Ovis aries: one gene and its partners. The protein of the gene in region 1 interacts with the protein of each later gene in a biochemical or structural test. Links are inferred from orthologs where the notes say so. Each region holds a gene or a part of one and is shown on either strand. Other genes may lie near its edges. The genes, in order: CRHR1, PDZK1, MPDZ, GOPC, DLG4, DLG1 and MAGI1.

Region 1 (3,500 bases):
TTATTGATAGGCCCAGAGGTGGCAAGTGACTTGCCTACACTCACACAGCAAATGAGTAGCAGAGCCCAGTCTGAAGCCTGGGTTCCGAATTACTACTTCAGTAATTCCCCACATAGTGTCTCTCTCCCTTTTTTCTCCATGATCCCTCTCAGCCAGTCCTTTCCTAGGTCCTTTCCTAGCATAGATTAGAGCACAAATGTTCAGTGATTGTGGTTATCAGGTGAGCTGGAAGGTGGGCCAACTTCTTTTAACTGGTTCCTACAGGTTCAGAGCAGATGTGGTTTGGTTCTAGAGGCGTGTAAGGGGACTGAGTCAGGGATTGGCTGGGTTTCTTCCAAGCTGTTCCAGGCTGTGAATTCTGAGCGCTCCAGTCTACACCAAGTGCAGGGCCAAGAGAAGTGTCCTCAGACTACAGAGCAGGGGACCTGGAGCATGTCCAGCCTTCCTCTAAATGCCAGCCAGGACCTCAGCTTTACCACCACCCCAGTGTCTCTGTTCCTCCTCTGCTCTGGAACCCACATTGGCTCCCTAGTGCCATAGCATCAAATTCAGATTCCTTCCCTTGGTATCTCCTCTGCAGAAAAAGAGCTCCTCTCTGCACTGGGGTCATTGCTGTCCTGTCCTCAGTTGGTGTGTGAATGTAGACTGGTTGGGGGGACACTGGAGTGGGGATGTTGCTCTGTCTCACCAGCCGTCTCTGCCTCCAGGACTGCAGTGCAATGCTTCCGTGGACCTTATTGGCACCTGCTGGCCCCAGAGTCCTGCAGGGCAGCTGGTGGTTCGACCCTGCCCTGCTTATTTCTATGGCGTCCGCTACAATACCACAAGTAAGGAAGCCTGAGAAAGGTAGACCGTCTCCTGGGAGGTGGGACAGGATGCAGAGAACTGGGGGCTTGTTGCAGGTGGGGAAAATAATACTGACAGTGACAGTAATAATACCAATACCATTCATGGGTACAGCTGCCATTGACCAAAGGCCAGCTGTGTGCTCTACTGGGCACTCTGCTATTTACTGCGGACACTCAGCAATACCCTGGAAGATGCTACATGTAACTATGTTATATAGTTAAGGCCTCCAAGGTTCAGAGAGATTAGGGAAGTTGCCCAAGATCACCAGCTGGTGAGACCGGAATTTGCATCCAGGTCTGACACTTTCTTCTGCAGTTGACCTGCTGGTTAATGTTGGCATGAGCCATGAGGTAGGGCAGGGGTCATCAGAGTAGCCCCAGCTTTGCTCAGAGAAGTTCCCAGGCCTAGCCAGGGTCCTCCAGCCATGAGGTAGGGGACTCAGGGTTTTAGATACACAGGCGGGGGGCTTGTCCTTGCAGGCAGGCCCACAAGTGGGGTGGGGACAGAGGAGAACTGATCCGGGCAGGGCTTGTTCAGATACTTGATCCTCACATAAACACCCTGCTCCCCTTGGGCCCTGAGCCTCCACCTCCAGGCTTTGCAGCTTCTTGCTATGCCACCTGTCACCCTCAGAATTAATTTGCTCTCCCCTGTCAATGACTCACAGCCCCTGCTTATCAAGAGAGCAACAGCTGCAGGCCAGGGGCCCTGACCTGTCTGGGGGGGGGCGGGGTCCCTGGGTGGGCCTTTGGGGTTTGGTGGGCCTGAGCTTAGAGCCCAAAGAGGGGACAGAAGGTGATCTCAGATACCAAATAATTGTGTGACCTTTAGCACATTTTTTTCCCCCTCTTTTATGGTCCTCTGGCCTCTCATCTGAGGATGGAGAGGGCTGGACAACACGGCTTCTTAAAACTTTGTCCAGCTCAAAACTCTCAATTTCCTTCTCCTGCCCCTCCCCTTTTCTACCAGCTGGATTAAGGGGGCTCGGGTGGGGGGCCACAGTCAAGGAGGGGTGGGGAGGGCCCTGGGGAGGTGTTGGGACTGGGCAGGAGGCTGGAACAGCCAGACCATGCAGCCTGGACCCAGGAGGAGAAGAGAGCCTGGAGGAGGTGTGAGGAGAATGTAAGTAGGAGGGAGGGCTGAAGGACCTGAAGAAAAGTTTGGGGTGCTCATCCTGCCAACCTCCAACTTAGTTGGGCCCCTTTTACCATTAGGAAATGGAGGCAGTGAGGCTGAAATCGCCCAAGGTCACAAAGCTTGGAGGTGGCACTGGAGCTGGGAAACCAGAGCCCTCCTGCTCCTCCACTCACCCGGCCGGGTGCCCGGCCCGGGAGCTCCCTGGAGGGAGGCAACACTAGGGCTGGTGTATGTTGGGGGGTGGGGGGCTACTTCCAAAAGGAGCCCCGCAGCCCCGCCCATGACAGCACCAGGTCCTGTCAGCTCCACCTCCAGAGTGATCCTCACGTCTGACCCTCCCTGCCTTCCATCCCCAGTGCCGCTGCCCCGGTTCAGGATACCTCACTTTCCAGTCCTCGTCTCTCATCCGACCCTGTCACACCCTTGCTTGGAGTCGACCTTTCTGTGGTTCCTTCTCTGTGGCTACCGTGCGACCTACCTTTGAGCCAGCCCTGGCCACTCCCCATGAACTGCCCCCACTCTTGTCCCCAAGGACAACTCGACAGCCCCCCAAATACACCATTAGTGCCTAGACACACGCTACTCGACTTGTCAGCCCTGCCTTTGAGTGGAAGCCAGGAGTCCTGGGTTCTAGTCCCAACTCCACACACACCTGGTTAAGGAGCCCTCTGCAACTGGCCCTGCCCGGGCCCTCAGTTTCTCCACCTGCAGGATGGGTGGGAGGTTTGGGTGAAGTGTTCTCTTGGCTCCCTTGCTCTTCCGTCTGTGATCCCAGGAGAAGAGCAGGAGAAGGTGATAATTCCTTGAGGTGGGGGCAGGGCTAGGAGACTCCCCTTTCCAGGTGCCTCCCCTGTCACAGTGATGAGAAACACCGCGTAATCAGGGGCAACTGGGAACCCAGATTTGTACCTAATCATTAGGCACCAGTTAATTCGTTTACCGAGGAGGTGCTGGCAGGACGTCTAGGCCTTCTCCCGAATGCCCTCCTTCCCACTGCATCTGATCTTCAAAGGGATGGGAAATATTTCCAAAAATATCAATTTTCCCGTGATTCTCCAGGAGGACTGCTCAGCTCAGCAATTAAAGACAAGGAGGTCGCATCCTCCCTGGAAACTTCATGCTGCCTGTTGGGCCTGTTTTCTTGTGGGATCACCTCACTTCCCACCAGAGCCTGCTCCCTCTGGATGATCCAGCCTGGGAGGGACTCCAGGCTCCTGCCCCACCTGCATTCAAAAGGGGGGGCTTGAGGCAAGGGGGTGCCTCCGGGACCTGTGCCTCCTTTGATAGCGACAAGTGGCATATTCTGAGTCTTATGTAAGGTTGTATAAATATAGCTCCAAGACAATAATAATAAAAGCAACAGCTCACACCACATGCCAAGTAGAGCTCCACATACCCTGTATGTGTCAACTAAAAACGCCTCTCAACCATTGAGCAGGAACTCTTGTTAAGATCATTCCTGTCTTGCAGATAAGGAAGCAGAGAGGCTGAAGGACTCGTCCAAGGTCACAGAG
Region 2 (3,500 bases), on another chromosome or scaffold:
GCTTTGGAATGAGGCCTTTGCTAGTTTCATGTTGTCTTGAAGAAAAGTGTTCTAAAGAACCATTATCTTCTGGATCTTATGTGTAAGTTACTGGAATCACTCTCTAAACTTGTAGTAAATTCGATCTTGAATCAATGTTACTAAAGTGTTTTAATACAAGCTGGAAGATGACTAGTGTGGGTGATGAATATCGAGTTATACATGGGGAGTATCTGATGTGCTATACCCCAAGTCTTATGCCCCAGCAGGATGCACGGAAAACACTCAGAGGTTTTTCTTTGGGGTCATATGGAACCTTGAAAATTGACCAACTGTATCTTTTCTTGGTAGAATGGTATTTCAAAGTAGACCTTTACTTTCTTTTCCAAATTCCTTTCCTAGTCTTCACCTAAGTACCTTTCTGGGTTTTCTGAATTCTGGCTTTCACTTGGGTTCAGTTAGCATCTGTGTGGGTGACGTCATACTTAACAAAGGGAAAAACAACTATATAAGGGAAGATAAATAAATACCAGTGAGGTGGTACAAAACAGTATTACAGCTTAATTAAGCTCAGGACTTACATCCCATATATCCTGTTTAATCTATAGACTGTGTGCCTCAACACAGAAACTTTCCTATTTCCCAGCATCTTTCTTGGAGACTGATGTTGGTCCTCACCTGACTGTTGTTGCAGGTGAAGAAGTCTGGAAGCCGCATCACATTCCTGCTTGTGGACAAGGAAACTGACAAGCACCATAGCGAGCAGAAGATAAAAGTCAAGAGAGAAACAGCCAGTCTGAAACTGCTACCCTGCCAGCCCCGTGTTGTAGAGATGAAGAAGGGAAGCAATGGCTATGGTTTCTACCTGAGGGAAAGCCCAGAACAGAAAGGTAAGGCACTTGAAGAGCAGAAAACTTGGCAGTGTAACCACCCAATTCTTCATCCCAGTCTGACTCCCCAGAGTTCCATTAGGCCCCCCAGCCCCCCATCAGGGTATCCTTAGGTTTTCATAGCAGAATTATAAAGCAGAATTTTGGATCTGAGCAGTAGCATGCCAGTAAATTGGCTCTCTGGGGGGTTAAAAAAAAGCCCTAATTTGTAGTATGTGTTGTTTCGTTGTGGTGTAAATACTCCCACCATGTCTGATTTCAAGCTACAACAGCTGTCATAGAACGCGAAGTTGAGAAGTATTCTCATGAGCTGGTGTGTGACAGCGCCAACATCCCACTAGATCTGAGGCAGGGGTGTGGGTGGGGATCTGGGACATGAATAGAACCAGGAGTCTTTCTGATTCCCTGTAATTCAGTAAGAATTAAGGTCCTCCTACACAAGCTGAATACATTACGAAAAAAAAAAATGTAGGTTCAGGCCATGAAAACTTATTCACCCAGAATTACCATTTTCTTTCCATCATATATATTTACATTAATTTATGAAACATTAATTTGACTCATATGGTATAAAAACATCCTCAGGATCTTTGAGAATATCAAATGAATGTGATAAGAATTCTTCAGTCAAGAAGACCCCTATTTACTAGAGGAGATAAGACATATATGTCCATAACTGAAGGTAGATGGTAAGAAACATCTTAAAACAGGGCAGGTAAGATACTATGGAAATTCAATGCTGGAGCGAGTTTTTCCTCACGAAAAAGGTATTGGGAGGCCTCAAAGTAAAGGTAGCACTTGAGCTCTGGCTTTATAGTATGAATAGAATTTAGGCAAGTTGATGGGGTAGGGACAGATAAGTCCAATCCATGAAGACAGGATTGCGTGAATAAAGCAGGAAGACACAGGCTCAGTTTGATTGCTATTTAAAGTGTAGCACAGAAAATCAAGTTAGAAAGGTCAGTCGGAGAGACATATGATGGACTGTTAGTGCATGCTGAGGAGTTTAGACTTATTTTCAGAGTTAGTGGGGAGTTATTTTTTGAACAGTGTGAGAGAGAAGAAAAATTAAACCTACATTGTCTTGCGGGCTTTACACATCTCAATTACTCCTAATAATTTTGTAAGAATTGCTGAAACTGGGGACTTGAAGAAGATACAACAATTTTTATATGGTCAAATAGTTCTAGTACAGCTAGAATCAAAATTAGGTCTGTTTAGTTCCAAAGCTCACATTCACGCTGTCATGCTGGGGAGTGACTCGCTCAGACGGTGCATCAAGATGAATCTGAAGGCAGGTCTGTACTGGAGAAGGCAAACAAGGAGGGGAGAGCAGCTGGTAAGGTAGCAGGTTAGGAAGAATTCAAGGCAGGAATGAATACAAACTGCATTTCAGGTGGAGGAACTAGGGCTCCAGAAGAGATGTGTAAAAATATTAAGGTAGCACTGAAGGACTTGGCTGATTAGACACAGGGAGTGGATGCTGAGGAAGAATCATGCTACCTGTCAGTGACAGGAGGATGGTGCTCCCACTAACGGGTGACCAAGAGATGCCAAGCAACTAGCTGGAAAAGTGAAATTGGAGCTTGTTAAAACTGTATGAGGGTCAAAAAAAAATTAAGGGTGAGAGATCTGAAGGTTTCTGGTGAAGATGGTTCAATTCCTGAAGACTCAACACCCATCTGTGTGGCACGCACTCACAGATCCATTCACAACTGAATTTGCCCAACTGCTACTAAAAGGCTAGCTTGGGTTTCCTGGGGTCTGAATTCTTTGGTTTTGTTCACCATTCTTCCCATCCTCTCCTCCCCTTTTTTTATGGCTTAGCTTCTACATAAGCATACAAGTATGCACACTGATTTCCTGGGACTTTGCTGACCCTTACTGCTTAGCATGCTGTTTTGCCAAGATTGAATCCCAAACACTTTTAGTAATAACATTCTTTTCTTTAAGACTCTCATTATTAATGACTGGGTTTATTCCTAGAATGAGTTCTGACCAAAGAGCGAGGTGGATAGGATGTGTATAGATATCCTAGTGGGAAGGAGTTGTACTCAGCATGCCTTTTATATCTATTTTATAAAGGCTTTAGGCCCCAGCAGAAATCCCCCAGTTTGTTTTCTATGGATCTTTCTGGTAATTCTATTTAAATTTTTTTTGGGGGGTGGGTAGGTCAAATCATCAAGGACATAGATTCCAAAAGTCCAGCAGAAAAGGCTGGCTTGAAGAACAATGACCTGGTGGTTGCTGTCAATGGCAAGTCTGTGGAGTCCCTTGATCATGACACTGTGGTGGAAATGATTAGAAAGGGTGGAGATCAGACCTCTCTGCTGGTGGTAGACAAAGAGACAGACAACATATATAAACTGGTAAGTAATACAAGGTCACATATTCATGAATTAAGGTTGGGTCCATTCACTCACACCCTCAAACTTTGGTTAAGTTACCACTTTGATCTTCATACTGGAAGAGGCATAACAATCATCATTAAGGCTGTACTGAAGCTCAAATTGGTAGATAAGAGAATGTGATGGGTTCATGAGGTTTAAGTCCTTGGAAATAAGATTTTTGAAAGAATTTGCAAATGTAACTGCAGAATTTCTCTTGGTGACCTAGGAAAAATCTATGAAC
Region 3 (3,500 bases), on another chromosome or scaffold:
GCCAGGCCTCTCTTTGGGAGAGACCAAATTCTTTACTGCATAAGTTGTTATGAAAATTCAAGTAATATAGGAAGTAAATGTCTCCCTGGATTCCCATATCTTGGGGACAACTATGTCTCCCTGGATTGCCATATCTTGGAGACAGCTATTGCTGTATTGGTTATTTAGTATATATTGTTCCAGGTGTTTAATAATTTTTTGAATGTACATTGAACTATATTTTGCTTATTGTTCATTAACTAGGCTTTTTCACTTAAGAATGTATGTATAGATGTATGTATTTTTGTGTGTTTAAACGAGTACTTTGAAATTGAATGCTAATTTGTTTCACATAATTAGTGTTTAAAACTTTTTCCACCTAAAAATAATGCATCCTTGCATGTACATCTTAGTGTGTTTTTCTAATTTTTCTTCTTGAAATAGAGTTTCTGAATAAAATGGTATGGACATTTTGAACTTTCATATGTACTTCATTATTACCCCTCTTGGGATGATTTCTGTGAGGTAGCTTCTAGAATATCAAAATTGTTAATAATCTCCATATTATTCTTAGGTAAACATTGCAACTTCAACAATTTCAAATGTCGAGTATGGTCACATTCCGCATCTCAGCCCAGGTGTAATTCCTACTCTACAAAATGAATCATTTTTATCATCCCCAAATAATGGAAATCTGGAAGTTCTTACAGGATTGAGTACTACTGCACACATCAATGGGAAACCTGCTTGTGATGAATTTGATCAACTGATCAAAAATATGGCCCAGGTAAGAGCGTTTGTTCCTGTTATGATAGAATGTGTCCTGGATAATTTGAAGAATACTTGCATATTTATATTACATATGTTAAATGTATACTTTAAATATATTATTATAATAGAAAATATGCAATAGTATATTTTGTTTTATATTCTTATTACATTTTACTGAACAACAATATAAAGTATATCTTAAATGTATATTATACTATGATATACTTATTTATGAAGACATTTTTAACATTGAAAAAATTAGAATGAAAAAGCTGTAGATTTCATGTAAGTTTAAGTGCTTCAGGGATTTTTCTAAATGAAGGTTATCTTAGAAAAAAATTAAAAAAAAAATTTAAACAGATTAATGCCACTATGCAGTGGCTGGCATGTAATTATATTCCTTGCTTCTTTTTCTGGACAGGGTCGCCAGGTAGAAGTTTTTGAGCTCCTCAAACCTCCATGTGGAGGCCTTGGGTTCAGTGTGGTGGGACTGAGGAGTGAAAACCGGGGAGAGCTGGGTATATTTGTGCAGGAGATCCAGGAGGGCAGTGTGGCCCACAGGTGAGACTGTCACTGTGACTTCTCTGTTTCTGATACCACATTCAGAAGGTGCTGCTCACCCTAGAAGAATTTTAAGAAACAAAAATGCCTAAAAACAAAAACAATATAAAATGTTATTAATCAGTTTTTAGAAATCATTAACATTGCTACAATAACAAGAAAGTCCTTTGAAGGCAGATTAACTTTTAAATATAGTCATGACTTAATCACTTTTTAATAAGGAAATAAACATTTGACTAGGACATCACTCCCATTGTTTTTAAACAGGCTCTTTTTGATTAGATTTAAAAATTATAGAAAAGCATTCAAGTGGTCTGTGATAATATCAGCTGTATTTTATTAACATACCCAAAACAACAAGTAAGAGCTGTATTTTATTAATATGCTCAAAGCAAAAAAGTAAACATATCCTTCTTTGCATTCATTTGTAGAAGATAATAGCAGTACTAAAATACAACATATAGGTTGAATGAGTAGCTAAAAGGAAGATGGCTGTTAAATGGGAGTGGTTGACTAGGGTTAGGTCAGCTGGTGCCAAAGCATATATAGTTTTCCCTTCTATTTTTATTGAGATGTAATTGACATATAGCGGTATGTAAATTTAAGGTGTATAGCATCATGATTGGACTTACATCATGGCGTGATTATCACGGTAGGTTTTTTGAACAGCATGTCACCTAGAACAAAATTAAAGAAATAGAGATAAAATATTTTAAGAGTACAATTGCAAGAAAAAAGTTACATAGTGTGGACATTAGAAAATAGAATTAAAAATAACCTGAAAATGCATTCCAAAGAAGCAGTCATTTTCTTGAGATCTATCGGTTATCTTTTATCCCCCTTTTCATTGTTAGAGATGGAAGATTGAAGGAAACTGACCAAATCCTTGCTATTAATGGACAGGCACTGGATCAGACAATTACACATCAGCAGGCCATCAGCATCCTGCAGAAAGCCAAAGATACTGTCCAGCTGGTTATTGCCAGAGGCTCATTGCCTCAGCTTATCAGCCCCATAGTTTCCCGTTCTCCATCTGCAGCGAGCACAATTTCAGCTCATTCTAACCCGGTGAGTACATAAGTTTTTCAAGGGGAACAGAACATATTTTTCTAATTCTTTAAGGTTTTGCACAGGTTTGCAATTCCTATAGGTTCTTTGTATTTCTTGGGTTTTTGCCTTTTTGTTCTTTATTCTCTTCTGAGCATAGAATATATTTTATGCAATTATGATTAAGTTTCTGGCTTCCAGAAAACTTTTATTTTTTTTGTGTAGCTTTTAAACTTGAATTCATTCCTAAGAAAGGAAAAAGTCCCTTAAAGATTGACTATCTGTAAACAAATAAAATCTTGATTTTACTTTTTAAGTTGTTAGAGTTAGCTATCAGTGACTTTAACAGGTCATTTAATTTGGGGGCATCCCAGGTGGCTCAGACAGTGAAGAATCCCCCTGCAGTACAGGAGACCTAGTTCAATCCCTGGGTCGGGAAGATACACTGGAGAAGGGAATGGCTGCCCACTCCAGTGTTTCTGTCTTGGAAATTCCATGGACAGAGGAGCCTGCCGGGCTACAATCCATAGTGTTGCAAAGAGTTGGACACGACTGAGTGATTAACACTTTCTCACTTAACTTGAAATCTAATGAAACAAGATTTATGTAGAAGAAATTTTTAACAGCTAACATTTTTTTTTCTCTTTTTCTTTGATTATCTTTTTTTAAACTCTTAAAAGGATCTTGCCAGTCTGTATCTTTACCTGGTTAAATAGAGCCACTATAATGATGTATTGATAATTTCAAGAATGGCTGTATCAACAGTAGTAACAACCTGTTGAAAGAGAAGTGTACTAAATAAAAGGGACCCTGTTAAAACTCATTATTATGTTGCACTCATTTAATACTAATCGCAAAATAATATTCACAGAAATCTCAACTACAATAAAATTTTAGTTTTCAAATTGACATGAGGGCTTTGTTTGCAGGTTCACTGGCAGCATGTGGAAACTATTGAATTGGTCAATGATGGTTCTGGTCTGGGCTTTGGCATCGTAGGAGGAAAAGCAACTGGTGTGATTGTGAAGACCATTCTGCCTGGAGGTGTAGCTGATCAGGTAAGCTATTCCAGCAGGTATTTTATGTTTTATACAATAATACAGCTTCTTCTTGTATATTTCCATCAAAAAGAGGAGGCTTTG
Region 4 (4,085 bases), on another chromosome or scaffold:
AGGGGATTGAGAGTGAGTAAATGGAATGGTAAAGAACAGCTGCTCAATACTCCCAATAGTCACATTAAAGTTGTAGCTATGTGCTCTGCTAATGGGAGGGTCACATCTCATTCATTTTTGTGCCCCTGATGCCTCAACAGGGCTCTGCATTCAATCTGTCTATGAATATGTAAATCTTCATAATTTTGTTTCACTGAAATGTCACGTGTAGGAACACTATCCAAGTGTTTTTTTTAATAAGAACATCTTTTTAGGTAGTTGCTTTGGAAATGTATAACCTGTGGTGTGATAATAAGGAATATCAAGTGCCAAGCCGGAGAAGGCAATGGCAAACCACTCTGGTACGCTTAACTGGAGAATCCCATGGATGGAGGAGCCTGGTAGGCTGCAGTCCATGGGGTCGCTAAGAGTAAGACACGACTGAGCGACTTCACTTTCACTTTTCACTGTCATGCATTGGAGAAGGAAATGGCAACCCACTCCAGTGTTCTTGCCTGGAGAATCCCAGGGACGGGGGAGCCTGGTGGGCTGCCATCTATGGGGTCGCACAGAGTCGGACACGACTGAAGCGACTTAGCAGCAGCAGCAGCAGCAGCAGTGCCAAGCACTGCTAAGCATTTTACCTTATTACTGAGCGAAAGAAAATTTGGAAACTGAGGCTTTGAGGTTAAAAAATACAACTAAGATGGCACAGCTAATAGGGGATAGGACTTAAAACTTGAACCCAAGGCTGTCTGACTTTTAATCACAAGAGGAAAGGACTCCTCTTAATTAAGCAACACCTGGTGAGCCGCTGTCCTTCAACTTTGCAGTTCTAGGCATTTCCATCCAGAATTTAAGGCCTGGTTTACCGAGAAGAGCAAGTGTGTCCACCCACCCCATCCGCATCACCCGTAACAGGAACTGGACTGGAAAAGGTAAAACGTGGCCACTGCGCATGCTCACACGGCCCTTTCTCACCCTTCCCACAGAATGTTACCGCGGCAACTTTGTCGGACTACTTTAGAACGGTTCCTGCCCACTATGAAGTCAAAGGGGTGGAAGCTGTTCCTCTCTGCGACGTGGACACCCTTCTCTTCTCCGGGCTTTTCCAACTTGGAAGCCCACACCATGCATCTCCCGTGGATTCAAGCTGGAGTTTGCCAGTTCTCAACATGGCCGTTGACAGGCCGGTCCCAAACGGAGGCTTTTCATAGGCCAAGGTCGCACCCTAGCTCCGCCCATTTCGTCCCTCAGGGCTGCGTCTGCCTAGGTCTTTTCTACGCAGGCGCGGCGGGGGCGGGCCGCGAGGTGGGACGGCCCGCGTCTTCCGTGTGCCACCGCCGCCGCCTCTGCTCTGCTGCTCTTGCCCCTCCGGGGCTTCGTTGCCGGCGTTAGCCACGCGAGGGGAAGAGAGGGGACGGACGGAGCGTGCGTGCGCGGGGCTTCCCGCAGTCCCAGCAGTTCCTCTCGCGGGGTGGACGACGGGGTCAGCAGCAGTCGGGGGAGGCCCTAGACGGCGCCATGTCGGCGGGCGGTCCATGCCCGGCAGGGGCCGGAGGGGGCTCAGGGGGAGCCTCTTGCGCCGTGGGGGTCTCCCCTGGCGGAGTATCTATGTTCCGGTGGCTGGAGGTGCTGGAGAAGGAGTTCGACAAGGCCTTCGTGGATGTGGATCTGCTCCTGGGCGAGATTGATCCGGACCAGGCGGACATCACTTATGAGGGGAGACAGAAGATGACCAGCCTGAGCTCCTGCTTTGCGCAGCTTTGCCACAAAGCCCAGACTGTATCCCAAATCAACCACAAGCTAGAGGTGAGCCTTGAGCCCTGGAGGGGGTGGCATTCAGCTCCAGCCATCAGACTTCATTTAACGCACCGGTGAAAAACTGCCAGCTCGGGTACCTGGGCTTCCTATGTGGCGGGAGTGCGTGTATGTGAAGGAAAAGAGTGAGGTGAGGTGAGAGCAGGAAGAGCTGTGTAGGTTGACATGTAGGTCTCCTGGGGTCCTGAAAGCCACCTGCCTGGTATCTCTATGAGGAGGAAACAGGAACTAATTAGACCTGTCTACTTGTGCCTTTTCGTTAAGAAGCCTAAGACTTCACAGAAGCTCAAAGATGCTCCGTCATAAGAATATTTTAGCTCACCTTTTAACATTTGAGTTTTTTAGATCTAGTTTCACATTGCAGGTTTGTATATGGCCAATCCTGATTATTTTGGACTATTTCAGGTCAATTTTCATTGTTGCACACAGCGCTATTCCTTGCCTGCATGAACTATTTAGGGGAATTTGATCAAAGCTTTTAGGAAAATGGGATAAACAAGATAGGATCAATGTCTGTCTCAGTTTACAGTTAGTCCTTAAATTACAGTCACATACCTCCAGAGCTCCCTACGGTTATTCAGATGACTTCTAATATTGAGGTGTGTCTGTACTTTACTACATTTCCCCAAATCTGGATTTGTTTTTGAAAGTGTGTGAAGAGCGATCATTTGCTTAAGTCTCTCATCTTGGTTGTGGGTGTGAGTGCAGTAGTAGTAGTTCCCAAAAAACCTACCATGTTTTGCAGAAAATTAAATTAGCATATTTTTACAATATTTAGAAATCATGATAGATTAACATTATTATATAAAGAGCATTTTAAATTATATAATGTAAATAAGAGAATGGGTCTTCATTTTAAAGTGGATAAAAATAGGATAATAAACGATATGCAAAGCTCTTTGACATTAGATTTCCTAAGAAATCGTTACTATCAGTTGTGATGATTGAGATTGCCCACGGGATCCAAATCAATATGAATATCAGAAATGCATTCTCTCCTTGCTTAGTAGTTAGCATTCTTTCTTTTTCCTGTCTGTCATGGAAAAGGTAGTATAATTTATCTTTGATGAGCATAGAATTGTATATGGGAGATTTTGTGATTCTTCTTCACTGAAAGAACTGTTAGTTTCTTTTACCCTTTTTGAAAAGGTTGGACGTGTTGACATAAAGCTAATCATTTATTAATCTACATCTGTGAAAATGTCTCTTGATTTCTTGATTCAGCTGTAGTTTCTAGAAGATGGTTATTTATTCAGGTAGTGACATTGCATTTGATGGTCTTCAGTAGCTTTTGCTATTCATCCTATACAACTGAGAGTTTTTACTGAGGACAGAAGAGCCTGGCAGGCAACAGTCCATAGGGTCGCAAAAAGCTGGATACAACTGAGGAAGTATACACACACACACACTGAGGATAAACAGAGTTTTTAAAAATGAAACAAAGTCTAATTCATTTTTTAAGAGACTTACGGAAACTTTGATGTTTTGATGTCAGATTTTAAAAATCTAATTTTGGAGAAATGATTGTTCTGTGAGCAGGTGATGCTCAGTTTTTTCATCTTTAAATATTTTAAATGAGTATTTAGAGTTATATTATGCATTTTCTTTTTGAGAAATCATAATTATGTATTCTGATTCCATGTCCTGGCTTAGAAGGTGGCTTTATTTCTCAAAACAAGAAATGCTAGCCCATCACAATGTAGGCACGTTTTTTTTTAACATCCTTGAAGCTTTTGATTTGAAGAGTTTAGAAAATAGGGGTTGTTTGTGTGTTTTTTCAGTTACAGTTGACTTCTTTGTAAGGTTACTGTTTCTCTGTTTAACAGTTTCTACAGTTTTCATGGAATCCGTTGTGTATTGCTGAGGAGAGAGTCATTGTCAGCAGTGCCTTTCAAAGTAGATCTGCCTTTGTATCATCTGCAGAATTTCAGAGGTGGCCCTGTGTACCTTTAGCAGTCTTTTGAGATCTTGAAATTTTAGCAAAGATTTCATACTTTCTTGCCCTGTTTTATTTTTTAGTAAGTGAATTAAATTCATTTTATTGCTTTAAGGATATGGACATTAAGGCATAATATTTGAGGTCACTTATGGTCTGATGTAGTGCACCAGATGTGCACCAAATTTCGGTTCTTTAATATACTTAAAGCATATTACCATAATAACATATTTTTATAATCAAGAAACAGACACCTCCAAGAGTAACTTAGATTTAAATTGAGCATCCTTCCGGATTGCCCTTCTTCTGCTAAGTTATTGTCTTTAGGTAGTTAATTTAATATTAATAT
Region 5 (3,332 bases), about 19 Mb from region 1:
CCCAAGACACGGGTTCAATCCCTGGGTCAGGAAGATTCCCCTGGAGAAGAAAATGGCTACCCAGTCTAGGATTCTTGCCTGGGAAATCCCATGGACAGAGGAGCCTGGTGGGCTACAGTCCATGAGTTTGCAAAGAATTAGACGCGGCTGAGTAACTAAATGGGAATTACCAAGCCTGAAGCTCCCCCTCTCAGATGGTGCTCAGAACTCTTGTCTCCTGGCTTCTGCAGGGTTTGGGGGAGGTGGGGGGGAAGAGGCTGACAGTAGGGACTGGCCAGAGCTCAGGAACCTTCTTGTCCTTTCTCAGAGTACAGCCGGTTCGAGGCCAAGATCCACGACCTTCGGGAACAGCTCATGAACAGCAGCCTGGGTTCAGGGACTGCCTCCTTGCGGAGCAACCCCAAAAGGGGTTTCTATATCAGGTCAGATGCTTCCTGGCTGGGCCCCTCTTCATTTCATGGCCCCTTGTCCCCCAGCCAGCTCTCCCTCCTCAATCTTGCCTGGCTCCTGTCCCGCCTCCCTCTCTAGGGCTGGAGACGCATAGGTTAGCATTGAGAAATGCTCCATAGCGACTAGAAAACAGCCTCAACCTCAGTGATCCCTACTGCTTCCTAGCCCCTAGTCACCCTGGCACCTCCCCTGGGACCCCCAGCTGCCGCACAGTCTGGTAACTCAAAGGGTAATGCCTGGCAGAGCAGGGGGCCTTTCAACTTTTGGAATATCACCCAGCCCCATGGGATAACGCATTCCAGGGGAAGTGGACCACTGCTCTCTCCAAGCTGACCCTGTCTCCCGGGTGGCATTTTGCTACCTTCTTAGGGCTCCTTCTCCCACTGGGCTCCTCTTTCTTATCTGCCCCAGGTGTAGGCGCTTTGTCCGAGCTTCTTCCTTTCCTTCCCTCTGGGCTCCCGGTCTGCTCACACAGGCTCCCCTTCTGCTCACTCTGCCAGTGTCTCTCAGAGCAGTCAGCCCAGGCCTGACCTCTTCCCCACAGTCCAGACCTGCAGCTCCAGCCATCTGCTTTCTGGACACAACCCTGGGGTTGTCCCACAGGTGTTCACACTCAGCATGTCCCAGAGCTAGCTCACCTTTTCTCCCGAGCGTGCGTGCTCGCTCTCCGTCCTGCCCAGTTGGTATCTCTCTTCCTGAATGACACCGCTGTCTGCCAAGATGCCTGGCTCAAATCAGAGCCTCTCTCGGCCCTTCTCTCCTTGCCGGGTCCGGTTGGCTCCCAGGCCTGGTCGGTTCTGACTCCCAGATGATGCTGATGATCCTTGAGTCCCTTCCCATCTTTCTAGCCCTGGTGCTCTGCTCGGCATCTCTGGTGTCTCTGCAGTCATTTCTTCCCTTGTCCTGACCCTGGAGTTGTCACTTACAGGTTGTCACTTAAGGCCACTCTACTGCTGAGGGTAGCCAGACTTGGGTCCATGTTACCCCGTGACTGTGACGTGCATGCATATGGCAGCTGCTTTCTTAGGAGGGTGCTATTCTCAATCTTACTCTTAAAATCGCCCCCAATCCGTAGGCTGTCTGATCCCTGACACAGCGAGAATTGAATGGCTGTTCATAGTTGTAGAGTTTTAGGTTCCCACACAGTTCTAGGGTTCCTCAGAATCCACAGCATCTCTGGGAAAGCCACCAGCGGCCGTGCGGGTCTGTAGACCCCTAGGCAGAACCTCTGGGCTGGGTCTCGGGGGGCCTTGGCCCTCACCAGACTGACTGGAGGCTACCTGCCCTCCAGGGCCCTGTTTGACTATGACAAGACCAAGGACTGCGGCTTCCTGAGCCAGGCCCTGAGCTTCCGCTTCGGGGACGTGCTTCATGTCATTGACGCCAGCGATGAGGAGTGGTGGCAGGCAAGGCGGGTCCACTCCGACAGCGAGACTGATGACATCGGCTTTATCCCCAGCAAGCGGCGGTGAGCCTTCTTGCCCCTGAAGCTCCCAAGGGCCCCAGGGTGGGCAGCCAGCAGGGAAGGCATGGGTCCACCCCCAGCTTCTTGGGGATCTGTCTGCTGACCCTTCATGGGCACCATGACTCACATGAGCCCTTGGGACAAACACCTCATTTAGGAGCGTGGGGCCCAGGGGCTGCTGCTGGGAGACAGAGTTCTCAGCTGCCCTGGGGGTGGGGGCAAGAGGTCCCCTCACTGGCCATTTCTCTACCCCCATCCCTCCATGTATCCCCCAGGGTTGAGCGACGGGAGTGGTCACGGTTGAAGGCCAAGGTAAGTGGAGAAGGCCGGGAGCTCTGGTGGAAGAGCAGAGGTGGGGTGGTATGGCGCTCGTGGGTCTAGGCTCCTGACTGACTGCATGGCCTGCTCTGTCTCCCTAGGATTGGGGCTCCAGCTCTGGATCACAGGGTAGGTTGGGTCAGGTTGGGGAGACCTGCGGGGAGAGGGGCCCTGGGCTTCTCTTGAGTCCTTGGGAAGGCTGGTGGGGCCCCTGCATCCCCTGCCTCCAAGGCCCTTGCAGATGCCCTGCCTCCTGTTAGGTCGAGAAGACTCGGTCCTGAGCTACGAGACGGTGACACAGATGGAAGGTGAGCCCTGGCAGCACGCCCTGGCCCAGCCCCCCTGCCCCACCTCTGCCCACCCCCCCGCCTGACCCCGATCTCTGCCCCCGCCTAACCGCCACGCTCTCCTCAGTGCACTATGCTCGCCCCATCATTATCCTCGGGCCCACCAAGGACCGCGCCAACGATGATCTCCTCTCCGAGTTCCCCGACAAGTTTGGATCCTGTGTTCCCCGTGAGTGCAGGGCCTTGAGGGGCGGTGGAGGGGGCCCAAGGGGTCACAGGCAGAGCCACTTCTGAACACAGGGTTCTCAGACGAGGGTGCTGCTCAGCCACCCTCAGGTCTGCCGGGACCGTCCCAGGCCTGGGACTCGGATGACCCAGAGGTGCTGGGGGAGGCAGCTCCACCCCTCTCCCCTGGCCTCGGTCTCCCCAGCAGCCCCCTTCCCCGGAGGACCAGCTGGGCTCTCTGCGGGTGGGGGGGGGGGTCGCTGTAGGCAGGGTTGAAGCTGGAGGGATGGTGGTTAGATCTTTGGGGGATGGGGTGACTTCCTGGCAGATACGACGCGGCCCAAGCGGGAGTACGAGATAGATGGCCGGGATTACCACTTTGTGTCATCCCGGGAGAAAATGGAGAAGGACATTCAGGCCCACAAGTTCATTGAGGCCGGCCAGTACAACAGCCACCTGTATGGAACCAGCGTCCAGTCCGTGCGAGAGGTGGCAGAGCAGGTAGGAGCCGTGGCCCATCCCCCTCCTCCTTCTCCCCATGGCCTTCCTCAGCTCTCTAACTCTCTCTCTCTCTGTCTCTCTCCCTG
Region 6 (4,259 bases), on another chromosome or scaffold:
TACTTCTTTGCATTGATCACTGAGGAAGGGTTTCTTATCTCTCCTTGCTAGTCTTTGGAACTCTTCATTCAGATCGGTATATCTTTCCTTTTCTCCTTTGTCTTTCTCTTCTCTTCACAGCTATTTGTAAGGAATCACTGCACATCATGACTGCAGCCATGAAAAGACGCTTGCTCCTTGGAAGAAAAGTTATGACCAACCTAGGCAGCATATTAAAAAGTAGAGACATTACTTTGCCAACAAAGGTCTGTCTAGTCAAAGCTATAGTTCTTCCAGTAGTCATGTATGGATGTGAAAGTTGGGCTATAAGAAAGCTGAGCGCAGAAGAATTGATGCTTTTGAACTGTGGTGTTGGAGAAGACTCTTGAGAGTCCCTTGGACTGCAAGGAGATCCAACCAGTCAATCCTAAAGGAAATCAGTCATGAATATTCATTGGAAGTACTGATGCTGAAACTCCAAACTTTGGCCACCTGATGGGAAGACCTGGCTCATTGGAAAAGACCCTGATACTGGGAAAGATTGAAGGCGCGAGGAGAAGGGGACGACAGAAGATGAGATGGTTGGATGGCATCACCAACTCAATGGACATGAGTTTGAGTAAGCTCCAGGAGTTGGTGATGACAGGGAGGCCGGGCGTGCTGCAGTCCATGGGGTCGCAAACAACTGGACACGACTGAGCGACTGAACTGAATTGGGTGATCTTAGGCAAATTCTTCTCTCTGGATCAGAGCATGGAGGTTGCTGGTACACAGAAGAGGGTCGAAGATGTGGAAATGATTTGGACATCTTTGCCCAATTCCTTTTCCAGATCCTGGGAGGCTCAGCCCCGAAGCGGGGTCCCAGCCGGCTAGTAGTCCCTTTCCTGCTGCTGCTGCTGCTAAGTCACTTCAGTCGTGTCCGACTCTGTGTGACCCCATAGACGGCAGCCTACCAGGCTCCCCCGTCCCTGGGATTCTCCAGGCAAGAACACTGGAGTGGGTTGCCATTTCCTTCTCCTAGGGACTACGTAAACTAGCTTTAAACTAGTTTTGCTGAGCTTCAGCGGTAGCTACAGGTGAGTTCTTAAAGGGGCCGCCAGAGCTTGGGTAATACGTGAAGCTGTTGACTTGGAGGGAGTTGCAGGCAAGGGAGAATGAATGAGAAAACGAACGAACCAATTTTCTATTCCCTTCCTTAAATGCATTCATACTTGGAATTAATCACTTAGATTTAAAAAATTCTCTGGCAAAACCTTCAATTTCTTATCAGATTAACTAATCTCCATATTTTACCTACCCTTCTTTAACTCAGTTCCTCCAAAACTTTTACTGAGGGGCTAACAGTAACTTGAAAAAATTAGCACCAAGTGTAAGAATGCAGAGACGGCACCCCTCCCCCTCGCAAACACCTCCCTTTTCCCCCTCCCAGGCCCCGCCCTTTCCCGCCCCCTATCGTGGGTGGTGCAGTCGACACCTCCCTGAGAATGCTTTTCCAGGTTGGGGATCCACCCCCGGGGTGGATCTCTCCGGCAGAGTTGGAAACGACACGCATTTAGTGAGGTTAAAGGGTGTCTCGGAATGTGTGTCCTGGATCTGGTGTAGGTGAGGTCACATTTCTCTTCCGACACTGTCACTCTTCCTCGCCTGGTGCGCTACTCGCTCAGAGCCGCGGGACACACCGGTGGGCTAGGACGAGGTAAAGGCGGGCTCTTCCAGGGCGCCCTGGCCCACCTGTAGAGTCTGTGCGTCAACTCCTTTGTTCTCAGAACCACTTCGGTGGCCGCGCCTTTACGCAAGGAGGTTCACTTCGACGTTCCTCAGGTCCCCTTCTGCCGTCCCCAGCCCCCTCCTGGCCCTCCTCCCTCTTCGAACCCAAAGGTTGCAGCGCTGAGAGCCCGGGGCTCGGCGCGAGCCGCCTCCTCACTTCCCATTGGCTGAGAGCGCTGGGAAAGCGGTCACGTGGGGGCGCGGCAATCCAGATCAAGGGCCGCCATCTTGGCGGAAAGTTTGGGGGGAGAGCGGTTGGGGGCGCGGAAGGAGGCGAGGTTCCGGGGGTGTGGCGGCTAAGAGCTGAGAAGGCGAGCGGGCTAGCGGGTACCGGCGAGTGAGGAGGCGCCGGCGGCTGAGGCGGAGGAAGAGGCAACGGGGGTGCAGCCGCCGAGGGGAGCTCCTCCCCCGTTCCCTCACCCCCCTCTGCACAGCTCCGCAAGCCCCGGGTGGGGCGGGGGGACGTGGAGCGGGGCAGGGCGGGGGAGACGGGCCGGGGCGCACCCCAGCTCCGGGCGCACGCCACTCGCAGGAACTTTGTGGCGGCGCCGCAGGTGTGGGGGCCCGCGGAGGTGTGCATGTGGGGCACGAGGGCGTCGGAGAGCGGCCGCTGTCCTGTCCGGCCCTCGCTGGAGTAGCTCGGAGGAAGCCAACAAGGAATCAGGCAAGCGAGAGGAGGGGGCCCGAGCAGGGCGGGGTGATCAATCCAGTTGGTTCCTTCTCGGACTGCTTTACAGTCTCTGCTGGTTTAGGGGCCAAGGGTCGGAGCGCCTCTTCACCCCCCAGTAGCAGGTGGGGGGTATGCTTTCTTATGCCGGGGGAGGGGTGGCCCCACGTCTAGCATTAAGCTCCCTTTGGAGAAGGGGCAGCTTTCGAGGAGAGTTTGGCAGCTTGCTCCTGTCTGCTCTTAATTTGCAGGGGAACCCAACCTTAGGTTAAAGCTTTCTACATTGACACTGCTGGGTTTTGAGGCTCTTTCTCCTTTGACTTGGGAAAACTTTGCCAGGTGGACTTTTCAAATAGGGCTAGGAGTTTTTCGATTTGAGAGTTAGAGGTAAATGCTAGGTTAACCTCGATTCTGTTCTTTTCTGAATTCAGTTCTGTTTCCTTTCTGTTTTGTGTTCTAAGGTGTGTGCTCTCTTCCTGATTCTGGAGAAAAATGCCGGTCCGGAAGCAAGGTGAGAGTTTACTTCGGAACTCTTGTGGGTATCCCTTGCTTTTTTCTGTTTTGTGCTTGCTATGTTTTACAGATGTTTGTGTAACTGATGAGACAGCCCAGCCTTAGCCTTATTACTTACGGAATCTAAGCCTCAATCATTCAGAAGATGGAAACACCTAAGTGTTTGTCAAACTTTTTTCCCTTGACATCTCTGTAGTGACTGGAGAGGCAATTAACTTTTTTCCCTCAGAAATGTCTTTTTTAAAAGTTTGTGTTGGCGTTTTAATATTTCATTTAAATCATTCTTAGTAAACCCTTTCGTGAACGAATGTGGAATACTAGCTAAGAACTACTAGTTTTGAAAGAATATTTGAATTATAATGATGGATTGTAGTAATCAGTGTTTGTATATCAGATCAACTGAAACTATGTTACTGGTTAAATGATCACTAGAACACATTGGTTACAAACTACTCACCTTGTTTTATTGTGACATAATGAACAGTTTTTGGATTATTTCATTTCTAAGGACTATATGTACAGGAACATAGTAGCATGGATCGACTTGGAGGTTTGGAGAATTGTTTAGGTTATCTTGCAGAGTATTTTGCTGCATAGCTAGTTTGTAATACTTCCTTGTAAGTATATAATTTTAATCAAACTTTTTTTTTCTTTTCAGATACCCAGAGAGCACTGCACCTTTTGGAAGATTATCGTTCGAAACTAAGCCAAACAGAAGACAGACAGCTCAGAAGTTCCATAGAACGGGTTATTAACATATTCCAGAGCAACCTCTTTCAGGCTTTAATAGGTGGGAATTAAAACTTTATTTGTGACCATTGTGTGTCAGCTGGGCTTAAGGCTTCTCTGAATTCACTTATTTTAAACTTAAGAGAGTGATAGACTTGGCTCTCTGTGAGGCATGCAGTTACTTGAACATCCAGTGAATTGTGTATTTTGATACTTAGACCAATATCTTTTCCAGAAATATCTAATAACCAAAAAAACTTTCAGTATGATTATTTCAGTGGTCTTTGATAACAAAGCATTAAAAAATGAAGAGGTTGCAAAAAGTAATGACTGAATAACTGTTAGCTTGTTTCTTTGTTGGTTTTGTTATTTCTCTGGAATCTCTGAAAATGTTTGAAAAGTTCTGTGTTTAAGAACATTCATTCTCTTAATATAGACCTCTGTTTAAACTTGGCATTTGTAGAATTACAGTTTTAAACTTGAAAAATGATCTTACAGATAATCTTGGTCTAATCTTGTTTTACAGATAAAAATATTGAATATTCTTAACTCTAACTTAAATTTGATGTGGTTCATTGTTTTAAAGGAGAACTGAACAAGGGTG
Region 7 (3,500 bases), on another chromosome or scaffold:
GCGTCCAAATACAGACGCTGATACACAGTATGCCCTAAATGTAACAGACTCTGGGCGTCCCCTTTGTTCTCCCATGGTATGGGTGTCTGCAGACCCTGAATGCTAAATGCTTATCAGAGTGGTTTTCGGTTCCTGTGTCTCAGTTATGTGAGGCCAGGTGCTGTCAAAGCTGTCACTCTCTTGGTTTGGTTGTGGAGTAGATGGGGGAAGGAGGAAGGGGTGACGGCACATTTCTTGGCAGAGGCGGGTAACCAAGAGGTATGTCTCTTGCACAGCCCCCAAAACTGAGAACGAGGTACCCTCGCCAGCCTCATCCCATCACAGTAGCAACCAGCCGGCCTCGCTGACGGAGGAGAAGCGGACCCCGCAGGGCAGCCAGAACTCCCTGAACACGGTGAGCTCAGGCAGTGGCAGCACCAGCGGCATCGGCAGTGGCGGCGGCGGCGGCAGCGGTGTGGTGAGCACCGTGGTCCAGCCCTACGACGTGGAGATCCGGCGCGGCGAGAACGAGGGCTTTGGCTTTGTCATCGTGTCGTCGGTGAGCAGGCCCGAGGCCGGCACGACGTTCGGTGAGTGTGGTCACTTCTGCTCCCCAGCGTTTCCTGGGGTCACTGTTCTCTGGAGAGGAAAAGACGAGCCAGAATCTCATTAACAGAAATGCTTGTCATGCTTTCCGCTTCAGGTAATGAAAGTCTTAATTGGGGACGGACTTTATTGGGCAGCTTTTCCTCTCCTGAAGGTTGGGATTTTTTTTTTTTTAACTCTTCAGCTTCCATTCTGGTGGCACGTTCACAGGCAGACAACTTCATGCATAGGTGAAATTTGCAAAGAAGCCCCTTGACAGGATAAAGTGTGAGAAATTCTTGCCATAGAGAGACCTTTGCAAGGTCCTGAGCAGGGTATCAATCATAGCAGTTGTCTCAGAAGGTCTCCGCATTTTTAAAAGAAGCATATGGTTTTAGAAATAAATGCCTGTGGGGAGGGGGGAAATAGAGGTGTGAGGAGTAAAAAATATACATGCAATGCCCTTTCCATCTTATCTGTGTCCTTCCTCTACCTATCTCCATCTGAAATTTTTAAATTTTAATTTAAAATAATATGTTTACTGTTGCCTGGTGGAGAATCTAATTAAAATCTGAGTGCAGAGCTGTTTGTCTTCACTGCCCTTGAATTCTAGCAGGGGTGGTTGTCCTGTCTCATCCAGATGTTGAGGGTTTCAGCAGAGAGTGGAGAAACACAACTGTCACCTGCAGGGTACATGGGCTGAGACAAACAGGAAGCCAGGTGATTCTAGGAACTAGGAATCGTGAGTCTTCCTATTAGAATGGATCATAAGTACATACTCCAAAACTGATCCACCTTTTTCATTAAATAAAACGTCATTTGTTGTTTTCCCCAAGCACATTTGTTAGTTAATATGGAATATGATGGGAGATGGGAAGGGCTGTGCAGGCTTTGAAACATGCTTCAGCTCTGTCTCCAAATGACCTACCCACAAGGAGTCTGAGGACCAGTGGTCCAGGTCGCTTGCTGGCCTAACATCAGCTAGGTGCTCCATCCTGTTGGATTTCTGCTCTGGTACAACTCTGTTTGTCTCCATTTAGTCTTGGTACTTTGCTTCCTGCTTAAGTCATGTCCCTTTAAGGTGCAAACTTCAGGGGACAGTGCGTCAAGCCAGGTCTGTGCATGTGTGGCTGCAATAACAAACACGCATTACTAACAATGCCTCTGTGAGCGCTGTTAATAGCATTATCACAGCATGTTGTGGGTGGTGGGTGACTTGACCTCAAGGCAGGGTGGTTTTCTGGCTTGTTTTCTCCATTAGTTTTGAAGACTTTTCCGTCCAATTTAAAAAGAAAAGCAGAGGGGACAAAGACATCTCAAGTTATTTTCTTCAGATCTGCAGTTTGTCCCTATGCACCCAGTGATATTCTCAGAATTTGAGTTTTCAGTTTCTCCTTCTAGAATGAAACAACAGATATGTCTGGTGGGAGGTTTTGTGTTGTTTAACACATATCGAATGTCTTCACTCACAATTTGGTCTTTGATTGTTTTCCTCCAACTTTTACAATGAGCAAATTAAATTTTCCCTAATACCTTGCATGTGACCTCTCTTCTGAGCCACGCAGACTTTCCTCCCACCTGCATGATACCTTTTCCATGGACTTGTCCTTGGAGATGGGCTAAACTTAATCAATACCTTGAATTTGAGTATGGAGGCTTTCCACCACACCTGCTTGTTGCTTTCCAGAAGACTGTTTAACTCTCTTTTGAAAAATTCTTTAACCTTAACCTTAACATCCAGTGATACAGACTCAGGCAAATATGCTGAAATTCGAAGCAATTGCAGCTCATTTCCCATACATTTTATCCTTACACTCTGAATTAGGATGGAAGAGCCTTCTCTTTCAGGGTTTCCCACGTTAATTTTGTCACGCTTTCCCAAAGATGGCTCAACTACGTAACTATCTTTACAGAAAGACAAACTCTCAAAATCAGTGGACATGCCCAACAAAATTTACAACTCAGTATGCAAGTATCTGGAAACCAGATCAGGCCACAAAGCCTGTTTTCCACCTCTCTTCTAAAAGTTACCAGTCACTCTTGGTTGTGACATGAAGTGCCTCAGAGCACACAGTAAACTTTCTTCTTCAAATGCACTTTTCCTGATTTTTCCTGTCAGAGCTATGTAGTAACTGAGGAGGACAAAGGAAATGATTAAAGAAGAAGGGCTGAGGAATGATTTGAACCTAGCTTCAGATCACTGTCCTCCATCTGAGTATGTACTAGATTTTCTTATGGCTTTGAGGGGATTTCTATGAGGAAGAAGGAGGATTTCAGAGCTAATGAGCCATTTGGGCCCTTCTCTGAAAGCCCACAAGAGCAGCTGATTGAGCAAAGGTCATAAAAGGAAAAATGCGTGTCAAGGTTGGGTGCTTCCTTGGCTCATCTCGTAATTATGCCCCTTTGCTAAAGCTTTCATCATGCTGGATAGCAGGCAGAAAGTCTAAGTGTTTGTCTATTAGGTGTTTTCAGATTGGATTTTTGGCACTAGCGGACTCTCTGACCTCACTAGACACCCAGTGATTGTGTTTTCTAAATGGAGAAAGAACAAAACATTGGCAGAAGCTTAAGCAACATCTGGCAAAAATGAAGTGACATGAACACAGAATGTGCAGAAGCTTCCATCCCAGCTCTGGGTTTCGTGTTTGAAGTCCCCAAATAAGCCCACAGCAAGTTACTTTGGGGGCGCTTGAGAATCTTTGGAAATTGCTGAAGATCCCAAATTTTGCCACTGATAGAAAGAGGAAAGCTGGGGTGTCCCCCTCATTTTAAATCGGGAAAGGACTGCAGCAATGAACTATCATTTAGGGCTGTAACTTCTTACCCAAACGCCCGAAACTTTGCCAATGTTTTGACCCTCGGCACAGAGTTCTCCTTTAATAACATTTGCTTAATGCTTTAATTAATTAACACTTAACCTTCTCTTTCCCTTTTCA

The links.
Region 2: the proteins of CRHR1 (region 1) and PDZK1 form a complex in vitro, tested with the Homo sapiens proteins (2 studies listed by BioGRID and IntAct, with this or other methods). The link is inferred for Ovis aries from reciprocal best matches to the Homo sapiens genes CRHR1 and PDZK1.
Region 3: the proteins of CRHR1 (region 1) and MPDZ form a complex in vitro, tested with the Homo sapiens proteins (2 studies listed by BioGRID and IntAct, with this or other methods). The link is inferred for Ovis aries from reciprocal best matches to the Homo sapiens genes CRHR1 and MPDZ.
Region 4: the proteins of CRHR1 (region 1) and GOPC form a complex in vitro, tested with the Homo sapiens proteins (2 studies listed by BioGRID and IntAct, with this or other methods). The link is inferred for Ovis aries from reciprocal best matches to the Homo sapiens genes CRHR1 and GOPC.
Region 5: the proteins of CRHR1 (region 1) and DLG4 form a complex in vitro, tested with the Homo sapiens proteins (2 studies listed by BioGRID and IntAct, with this or other methods). The link is inferred for Ovis aries from reciprocal best matches to the Homo sapiens genes CRHR1 and DLG4.
Region 6: the proteins of CRHR1 (region 1) and DLG1 form a complex in vitro, tested with the Homo sapiens proteins (3 studies listed by BioGRID and IntAct, with this or other methods). The link is inferred for Ovis aries from reciprocal best matches to the Homo sapiens genes CRHR1 and DLG1.
Region 7: the proteins of CRHR1 (region 1) and MAGI1 form a complex in vitro, tested with the Homo sapiens proteins (2 studies listed by BioGRID and IntAct, with this or other methods). The link is inferred for Ovis aries from reciprocal best matches to the Homo sapiens genes CRHR1 and MAGI1.

Annotation. Positions count from the first base shown.
Region 1 is NC_056064.1:45,564,456-45,567,955, forward strand, and holds part of CRHR1 (corticotropin-releasing factor receptor 1), read left to right. Parts: intron 1-707; coding exon 708-827; intron 828-3,500.
Region 2 is NC_056054.1:99,019,408-99,022,907, reverse strand, and holds part of PDZK1 (Na(+)/H(+) exchange regulatory cofactor NHE-RF3), read left to right. Parts: intron 1-673; coding exon 674-869; intron 870-3,041; coding exon 3,042-3,238; intron 3,239-3,500. UniProt on the Homo sapiens protein: A scaffold protein that connects plasma membrane proteins and regulatory components, regulating their surface expression in epithelial cells apical domains.
Region 3 is NC_056055.1:81,729,768-81,733,267, reverse strand, and holds part of MPDZ (multiple PDZ domain protein), read left to right. Parts: intron 1-553; coding exon 554-766; intron 767-1,171; coding exon 1,172-1,311; intron 1,312-2,165; coding exon 2,166-2,379; intron 2,380-3,287; coding exon 3,288-3,416; intron 3,417-3,500. UniProt on the Homo sapiens protein: Member of the NMDAR signaling complex that may play a role in control of AMPAR potentiation and synaptic plasticity in excitatory synapses. Promotes clustering of HT2RC at the cell surface.
Region 4 is NC_056061.1:20,413,694-20,417,778, forward strand, and holds the start of GOPC (Golgi-associated PDZ and coiled-coil motif-containing protein), read left to right. Parts: upstream 1-1,285; 5' UTR 1,286-1,503; coding exon 1,504-1,791; intron 1,792-4,085.
Region 5 is NC_056064.1:26,802,664-26,805,995, reverse strand, and holds part of DLG4 (disks large homolog 4), read left to right. Parts: intron 1-307; coding exon 308-422; intron 423-1,741; coding exon 1,742-1,918; intron 1,919-2,190; coding exon 2,191-2,227; intron 2,228-2,334; coding exon 2,335-2,362; intron 2,363-2,493; coding exon 2,494-2,541; intron 2,542-2,647; coding exon 2,648-2,749; intron 2,750-3,073; coding exon 3,074-3,246; intron 3,247-3,332. UniProt on the Homo sapiens protein: Postsynaptic scaffolding protein that plays a critical role in synaptogenesis and synaptic plasticity by providing a platform for the postsynaptic clustering of crucial synaptic proteins.
Region 6 is NC_056054.1:192,592,994-192,597,252, reverse strand, and holds the start of DLG1 (disks large homolog 1), read left to right. Parts: upstream 1-1,459; 5' UTR 1,460-1,581; exon of another isoform or gene 1,582-1,675; intron 1,676-1,956; exon of another isoform or gene 1,957-2,410; intron 2,411-2,874; 5' UTR 2,875-2,905; coding exon 2,906-2,948; intron 2,949-3,584; coding exon 3,585-3,716; intron 3,717-4,259. UniProt on the Homo sapiens protein: Essential multidomain scaffolding protein required for normal development. Recruits channels, receptors and signaling molecules to discrete plasma membrane domains in polarized cells.
Region 7 is NC_056072.1:36,129,980-36,133,479, forward strand, and holds part of MAGI1 (membrane-associated guanylate kinase, WW and PDZ domain-containing protein 1), read left to right. Parts: intron 1-275; coding exon 276-569; intron 570-3,500. UniProt on the Homo sapiens protein: Plays a role in coupling actin fibers to cell junctions in endothelial cells, via its interaction with AMOTL2 and CDH5. May regulate acid-induced ASIC3 currents by modulating its expression at the cell surface.